Macaca fascicularis: one gene and its partner. Each later gene encodes a partner of the first gene's protein in a complex. Links are inferred from orthologs where the notes say so. Each region holds a gene or a part of one and is shown in the gene's direction. Other genes may lie near its edges. The genes, in order: POLR3F and POLR3K.

Region 1 (3,814 bases):
TCCTGACCTTGTGATCCGCCCGCCTCGGCCTCCCAAAGTGCTGGGATTACAGGCTTGAGCCACCGCGCCCGGCCTGTCTCATTCTTTTTAAGGTAAGCCTTTCTTTTGGTAAATATGTCACTGTGGTGACCTTGTCTGTTAATTTTAAGTAGTGATATAGATTATTAGATTATCCTGTAGTCTTTACCTTATTAATTTTACTTTATTCCCCTGCAGTAAAATGAAGGGGTCAGATAACCAAGAAAAACTAGTATATCAAATCATAGAGGATGCAGGAAATAAAGGTAAGCATGTGAAGGATGAAGCAGAAAAAAACATTGTCTTTGGAGCTTAATATAGGGACCCAGATCTCAGCTTCCCAGGGTAGAGCTCGGTGAACAGAGTATGCTGAGGAAGGGAATAGAACATACAAATATAACATGCATGTGCCTGAAGGACACCCAAGAGTAAGGCCATTGTTGCCTTGAAAGACAAGAACTAGAGGGCTATGGCCAGGGATGGAAAAAGACTTCTGAATTCTGAGTCACATGAATGTATTATCTATTCAAAATAAATCACATTTAAGTTTTTTTTTAAAAAATCTGTACCTTCTAGCTATATGACCATGGACAAGTTACTTAAACTTTGTAAGCTTCAGTTTCTTCATCTTACCTATAAATTGTGGATGCTGACACCTCTCGTTTTTGCAAGGACCAAAAGGAAAGCCGGTGTCGTGTAGCAGTGTCTTAATGGATGTCCCTCTGCACTATAGTTCCTCTTCTACCCCCCTTGAAGAACTGTATCTAGATTGCAATCCTCAATTACAATAATTTAGGATCTATTTGAGTCATTGATAGTAGCTTGAAAAATTGAGATATAATCTGAAATTATATAACTAATTCTTATATTTATTAAAATTAACATTTTTAAAAATAGTCCTATGAGAAGGCCATTCTGCATATTTTTTTAATCTTCCTGTCTCATTATGCCACTACATTGGGAAGAAAATAAAGCAAAATGTTTACATACATTCCCTTTCCATATATAACACTTATTTCCTTCTTTGAAAAAGAAATCATTGCTTCTCACACAGGGCTTTTAGCAGCTATAAGAACCCTAGGCTTCCTTTTTCCATCTCACAAATACAATGTTGTATAAATAATGGATTACGTGCATGCAGACACTCATCTAAAGAGTGTTTTTGTCCCACTTGAGGATGGCAGTTGACCTTGACCCAAATTTAAGTTTGTATTTCACATTTACAATCTAAAATGAAAATATCAGAAAACAGAATTAAGGGTACGGATGATATAAGTTAATTCTGTTGCATCCATGATTCTTCCTTCCATTATAAAAATGTCCTTTTCATAATTTTTGTTTGTTTGTTTTTTGAGACGGAGTCTCGCTCTGTTGCGCAGACTGGAGTGCAATGGCGTGACCTTGGCTCACTGCAACCTCCGCCTCCCGGGTTCAAACAATTCTCGTGCCTCAGCCTCCCAAGTAGCTAGGAGTACAGGTGCACGCCACCAGGCCCCACTAATTATTTTTGCATTTTTAATAGGGACAGAGTTTCACCATGTTGGCCAGGCTGGTCTCAAACTCCTGAGCTCAAGTGATCCACCTGCCTCGGCCTCCCTAATTGCTGGGATTACAGGCATGAGCCACTGTGCCCGGCCCTTTCCATAAAATTTTTAAAAGTGTGCCACACTGGGATTCCAAGAAATTTCTGGTTAGAAATTATAAATCATTATAATAATAATAAATCTTATAAAGCATTAGACTTATTTATTGTTTGGCATACTTTTGCTACTTTAGCCAAGGTTCTTACCTCTAAGTCATTTCATTTTTACCGTTAGCTTTATACTGCTAGCTTTGGAATGAGATATGAGTTAGAGGAATAAAATTAAAAATCCATGAAAACATAGCTCAACTTATTTTACTTTACTTTCTCATAGGAATATGGAGCAGAGATATCCGCTATAAAAGTAATTTGCCATTAACAGAAATCAACAAAATCCTGAAGAATTTGGAAAGTAAAAAGCTTATCAAAGCTGTTAAGTCTGTGGCAGTGAGTAGTCCTTTCCTCAAATATCCACTTACATATGTTGCTCCAAGTTTGAATTCTTGAAGTTATGTCATGATTTAGAACAGCTGGTCCAAAAAGACTTAAAAATTTAGCTCATGTTGGATTGGTTTGGAGATACTGCTTAGACTTGTCCCTACACAGTTGGTTCTTGGTGTCTCACCCACCCAAAGATCTAAAACTACTTTACTGTCTTCAGTGAAGAATCTTTGGAACTGTGAACATTTTTCCTAGATTTTATGGTATATAGGATAATTTACTTTATCCCAACATACTAACTTTCTCATTCAACAAAGAGTATTTTCTGTGTGCCAGACACTGTTCTGAGTGCTTGGGATACATTAATGAACAAGTCGTAGAAAGATTCCTGCCTTGGTGGAGCTTCTCTTCTAGTACACGTGTGTTTTTCCTGCTCCTCATCCCGTCCCACTCCTGCTCCAGAGCTTGCTCCCTCAGGGACATCTGCCCCTAATCTCACTGATTTAGACATCAGAGGAGCTGAGATTCCCCTAGAATAAAGTTTGCTTCAATACACATTTCATAAGAATTAAAGCTATAATTCAAATTTTATAATTTCCAAGCTGTTAAGTCTGTGGCAGTGAGTAGACCTTTCCTCAAATATCCACTTACATATGTTGCTTCAAGTTTTTATTTTTGAATAAAACAAGAATTATAAGAACTGTAACATCAGTTATAAGAATTTGATGCTTATTAGTGATTTTATTTATCAAATATTTATGCTGTACCACTTCTCATTTAGAATAACATTTCCCTTCCACATTGTTTAATGGATAATTTCAAATATATATAAAGGTAGAAAAAATCATATAATAAATCCCTGTGTATCCATCACCTAGCCTCATTTTGCCAGTCTTCCTTCTACATCTTTATGTTTAATAACAGCTTTGCTGAAATATAATTCATCATTCATACCACAGAATTCATTCATCCTTTTAAAGTGTAAAATCTTTGGATTTACAGTCACTGGTTTTTACTATAATCTTAGAGTTGTGCAACTATCACCGCTGTCCTAATTTTAGAACATTTTCGTCACCCCCAAATGTGACCACTAGTATTTATTTCCCAGCCTCTCTTTCCACAGTCTCTAACAACGAATAGTTTATTTTCTGTCTTTATTATAGATTTGCCTATTCTGGACAGTTCCTATGAATGGAATAATAGAATATGTAGTTTTTTATGTATTACTACTTTGACTTAGCGTGATGTTTTCAAGGTTTATCCATATTGTACTTCATTCCTTCTTATTGCCAATTAAAATTCCATTGTACAGATGTATATCACCGTTTGTTCATTCATCCGTTGCTTAACTTCTGTGTCCTTTTAAGGGTTAAAATAATCTTAGATCTAAGTGTAAAGTGCAAAACTATAAAACTTTTAGAAGAAAACACAGAAAATCTACATGACCTTGGCTTTATTAATGAATTGTTGGACTACAACTCCAATAGTAGTCTATGAAAGAAAATGTTGATAAGTTGGAGTTTATCAAAATTTTTTGAAAACCTCGGCTTTGCAAGACATTGCTAAGAGAATGAAAGGACAAGTTACATACTAAAAGATATTTGCAAATCACATATTTGATAAAGCACTTGTCTCCCAAATATACAAAGAACTCCCAACATTCAACAATAAGAAAACAACACTTTGGGAGCCCAAGGCAGGTGGATCAGCCTGACCAACATGGTGAAACCCTGTCTCTACTAAAAATACAAAATCATCCAGGCGTGGTGGCAC
Region 2 (4,588 bases), on another chromosome or scaffold:
AAAAAACAGGCAAGAGAATAAACTCACATGAGGATCCATCCCCAGGGGTGGGTGGGGTCCTGTCAGTTCACCCTGAGTATCCCTGATCATCAGGACCCAGGCCAGGGCCCAGGACTGAGTAAGGCAGGTGTACACAAAAAACGGTAATAACAAATATTTTAATACAACATTTAAGAAATACAAGGCAATTAAAATATCCATGATGAGCAAAATATAAAACATTTAAAACTGGCCGGGTGCGGTGGTCCACGCCTGTAATCCCAGCACTTGGGAGGCCGAGGCCAGCGGATCACTAGATCAGGAGATTGAGACCATCCTGGCCAACATGGTGAAACCCCGTCTCCACTAAAATACAAAAAATTAGCCGGGCGTTGTGCCGTGTTCCTGTAGTGAACCTGGGAGTGGGAGGTTGCAGTGAGCCAAGATCGCACCACTACACTCCAGCCTGGCGACAAATCAAGACTCAGTCTCAAATAAATAAAAAGTATCGTGCCAAAGCATATTGACGCTTGAGGCAAATGGAACTAAGTTTTTTCGTTTATCGTAGGGTTTTTTTTTTTTTTTTTTTTTTTTTTGCATCACCTTTGACTTTTAAAGCTATTACAGGCCGAGTGGGTGGCTCACACCTATAATCCCAGCTTTTTGGGAGGCTGAGGTAGGAGAATCGCCTGAGCCCAGGAGTTTGACACCAGCCTGGGCAACATAGTGGGACTCCCTCTGTACAAAAAATTTAAAAATTAGCCGGGTGTGGTGGCGCGCATCTGTGGTCCCAATTACTCCGGAGGCTGAGGTGGGAGGATGGCTTGAGCTCAGGAGGTGCAGGCTGCAGTGAGCCAAGATCGCTCCACTGCACTCCAGCCTGGGCGACAGAGCAAGACCCTGTCCCCCCAGCCCCCTAAATACAATTACATTAAAATTTCATTTAATGTCACTCACTAATGAGGGTTTTGGTTCCTCTTTAAACTTCGCGCCGCAGGCGAGTGTGCCTGGCCAAGGTAAAGACCCTTGTTTACGCCCAGAGGCGCCTTCCTCAGCCTTGGGCCGCAGCCTCCCACCAGCACCTTCAGAGGCTGCGCGCGCCCGGACGCCCGGCCCCCGGGGAACGACTCCCGCCCCCCTGGCCCCCGCCAGCACACACCTGGATCGGCAGATCGCAGAGCAGCGGGTCCTGCACCACCATAGCCAGACCCTCCTGGAACACGTCCATGGCCTCGGAGTGCGGCAGCGCCTCTTCTTCGTCCTCATCTTCCTCTTGCGCCTCGGACCCACCCGCGGCCTCCATCTCCTCCAGGGCAGCACCTCTCAGCCGGTCTCTGCCGGCACTTCCAGTACGCACTAGGGAGGCCAAGCGCGCACGCGCAGGAACTGCGGCCGGTCCCAGCGAGGCCGCCCAGCCATTGGTGCGCCGAGGGGTGGGGCGGCTGCAGTGACCAATGACAAGTGCGAGACAGCCAGCAGCAGGGCTGGGAGCGCAGAATCGCCCTGTCTATTGGTTGGTGGGCGGGGCGAGGCGGCCGCCAGGACCAATGTAAGCTCGAGGCGGGCCGCGCGTCGGCGCTGAGCGGCAGTGTGAGCTGCCGGTGGTTGGCGCCTGCGGAGTTCGAGACCATGCTGCTATTCTGCCCCGGCTGCGGGAACGGGCTGATCGTGGAGGAGGGACAACGCTGCCACCGCTTCGCCTGCAACACGTGCCCCTACGTGCACAACATCACCCGCAAGGTGGGACCCGAAGGCCGGCGCTGGGCCGCGGGCGCCTCTCGCAGGCCTTCCCCTTCCTCCGACTGCGGCGCCATCGCCGCCAGCCCCGGCGTCTGCCTCTGTCCGCTCTTTCTCGCTCCCCCTTCCGGTCTGCAGCAGATCTGTGGGCTCTTTCTGTGGGCTCCAGCACACTCAGAAAGCCCCACCGTTTCCCGCCTCCTTGGGTTCCTGCTCCCACGCTTGCGCCCTCCTCTGCGTTCACAGCAGCGGCCACGGCGATTCCCTTAAAGCTGAGGCACGTAGGTCCGTGCTGTGCGCAGAAACCTTCGGCCGTTCCCCAGCTCGTGCAGACGAAAAGCTGGAATTCTTCCAGGGCCTACCATGTTCAGACACTGACCCCCTCCCCGACTTGCTTCTCCGATTTCAAGTCCTATTGCCCTTTGCCCCATCAACACCAGCCTCCTGGACGATCTCTCATTGTGCACATGGCGCTCGCAGGGCCTTTGCACTTACTGTTACTAACTTCGCTCTTCCCCTAGATAGCCACCTTACTCATTGGTCTTGTCTTTACCGTATTTTAAATTGCAGCCCCTCCGTCCAATGTATCCTCCTTCCCTTTGTAATTGTTTCCACAGGGCTTGTTACCTTCGAATACATTACGTAATGTATCGTGTGCTTTGTTTATTAATAGTAGGACCTGGCCGGGCGCCGTGGCTCACGCCTCTAATCCCAGCACTTTCGGAGGCCAAGGCGGGTGTATCACTTGAGGTTAGGAGTTCGAGACCAGCCTGACTGACATGATGAAACCCCATCTCTACTAAAAATACAAAAATTAGCCGGGCATGGTGGCAGGCGCCTGTAATCCCAGCTATTCGGGAGACCGAGGCAGGAGAATGGCTTGAACTTGGGCGGCGGAGGTTTCAGTGAGCCAAGATCGCGCCACTGCACTCCAGCCTGGGCAACAAGAGTGAAACTCCGTTTCAAAAAAAAGAAAAAAAAAGTAGGACCTAAGGTCTAGGAGGGCAGAGGTTTTCCGTTTTGTTCCCTTCTATGTTATATTCTGAACAACTAAAATGAAACCTAGAATATAGTAGGTGTTCAGTAAGCAGATGATGCATGCTTTATTATAACTTGTTGTTTTCCTTTGATAATACATATTTTCTTTTTACTTTTTAGAATACTTTTACTTTTTTTTTTTTTTTTGAGACGGAGTCTCCCTCTGTCGCCCAGGCTGGAGTGCAGTGGCGCCATCTCGGTTCACTGCAAGCTTCGCCTCCCGTGTTCACGCCATTCTCCTGCCTCAGCCTCCCTAGTAGCTGGGACTATAGGCGCCCACCACCACGCCCGGCTAATTTTTAATATTTTTAGTAGAGACAGGGTTTCACCGTGTTAGCCAGGATGGTCTCAATCTCCTGACCTTGTGATCCGCCCGCCTCGGCCTCCCAAAGTGCTGGGATTACAGGTGTGAGCCACCACGCCTGGCCAATTTTTTTGTGTTTTTAGTGGACAGGCTTTCCCCGTGTATTAGCCAGGATGGTCTCGATCTCCTGACCTTGTGATCCGCCTGCCTTGGCCTCCCAAAGTGCTGGGATTACAGGCGTGAGCCACCGTGCCCAGCTTTTTTTTTTTTTTTTTGAGACACAGTCTGGCTTTGCTTCCCAGGCTGGAGTGCAATGGTGCAATCTCGGCTCACTGCCACCTCTGCCTCCCGGGTTCAAACAATTCTTCTGCCTTAGCTTCCTGAGTAGCTGGGATTACAGGCTCCTGCCACCACCCCCCAGCTAATTTTTGTATTTTTGGTAAAGACGGGGTTTCACCACGGTGACCAGGCTGGTCTCGAACTCCTGACCTCAGGTGATCCACTTGCCTTGGTCTCCCAAAGTGCTGGGATTACAGGCATGAGCCACGACGTCTGGCCAGAATACCTTTATTTTTAGAAGTTAGAATATGTTGGTGCTACCGCCGGGCGCGGTGGCTCACGCCTGTAATCCCAGCACTTTGGGAGGCCGAGGCGGGCGGATCACAAGGTCAGGAGATCGAGACCACGGTGAAACCCCGTCTCTACTAAAAATACAAAAAATTAGCCGGGCGCGGTGGCGGGCGCCTGTAGTCCCAGCTACTCAGGAGGCTGAGGCAGGAGAATGGCGTAAACCCAGGAGGCGGAGCTTGCAGTGAGCCGAGATCGCGCCACTGCACTCCAGCCTGGGCGACAGAGCGAGACTCCGTCTCAAAAAACAAAACAAAACAAAACAAAAAAAAGAATATGTTGGTGCTACCTCAGTCTTAATGTTTGCATGCTACTACATTTTGTACTGTGTTGTGGGAGTTTGGAGTTGGAAACTGTGGGAAGAGTGAACTCTTATATAATCCTGAAATTCGAGGTTTGGCAGCCCAGGTTTGTGCTATGCAGTTACCTGGAGTCTGAAGTGTTGTTTTTGTTAGGTAACAAATCGGAAGTACCCAAAACTGAAAGAAGTGGATGATGTGCTTGGTGGAGCAGCTGCCTGGGAGAATGTTGACTCTACTGCAGGTAAGAGGGAACACTGTTTCTGTTGCTAAACTGGATAATTATGAGGCTGTTGATGCCACTGCATGGCAGAGTCTGTGATGTCATATAAATGATGTAGGTTTCTAAAAATAGAAATGGTTTTTGAATAATTTATTAGTATTTGTTACTGTTTAGTAATCTGTTACACAAGCAATATTTGTACAAGCCTTGGAGTCATACAGGCCCATGTTAGATCCTCAGGCCCTTGTACTGTGGTAGGACCTTCCTTGGGTCTCTTGACTTCTCTGGGGCTAATCCATATTCGTAGATCGTGAGAGCATAAAGTGAGTTATACCGTGCTTGGTATATAAGAGGCAGTGAGCAGGTGATAGCTTTGATAAT

The links.
Region 2: POLR3F (region 1) and POLR3K share a complex: the UniProt entries of both Homo sapiens proteins name them as parts of the RNA polymerase III complex. The link is inferred for Macaca fascicularis from reciprocal best matches to the Homo sapiens genes POLR3F and POLR3K.

What each region holds. Positions count from the first base shown.
Region 1 is NC_088384.1:68,810,743-68,814,556, reverse strand, and holds part of POLR3F (DNA-directed RNA polymerase III subunit RPC6), read left to right. Parts: intron 1-216; coding exon 217-284; intron 285-1,934; coding exon 1,935-2,047; intron 2,048-3,814. UniProt on the Homo sapiens protein: DNA-dependent RNA polymerase catalyzes the transcription of DNA into RNA using the four ribonucleoside triphosphates as substrates.
Region 2 is NC_088394.1:781,640-786,227, reverse strand, and holds the start of POLR3K (DNA-directed RNA polymerase III subunit RPC10), read left to right. Parts: upstream 1-1,556; 5' UTR 1,557-1,608; coding exon 1,609-1,719; intron 1,720-4,140; coding exon 4,141-4,228; intron 4,229-4,588. Other genes in the region: SNRNP25 (U11/U12 small nuclear ribonucleoprotein 25 kDa protein), read right to left, coding at 1,139-1,282. UniProt on the Homo sapiens protein: Core component of RNA polymerase III (Pol III) which synthesizes small non-coding RNAs using the four ribonucleoside triphosphates as substrates. Can mediate Pol I proofreading of the nascent RNA transcript.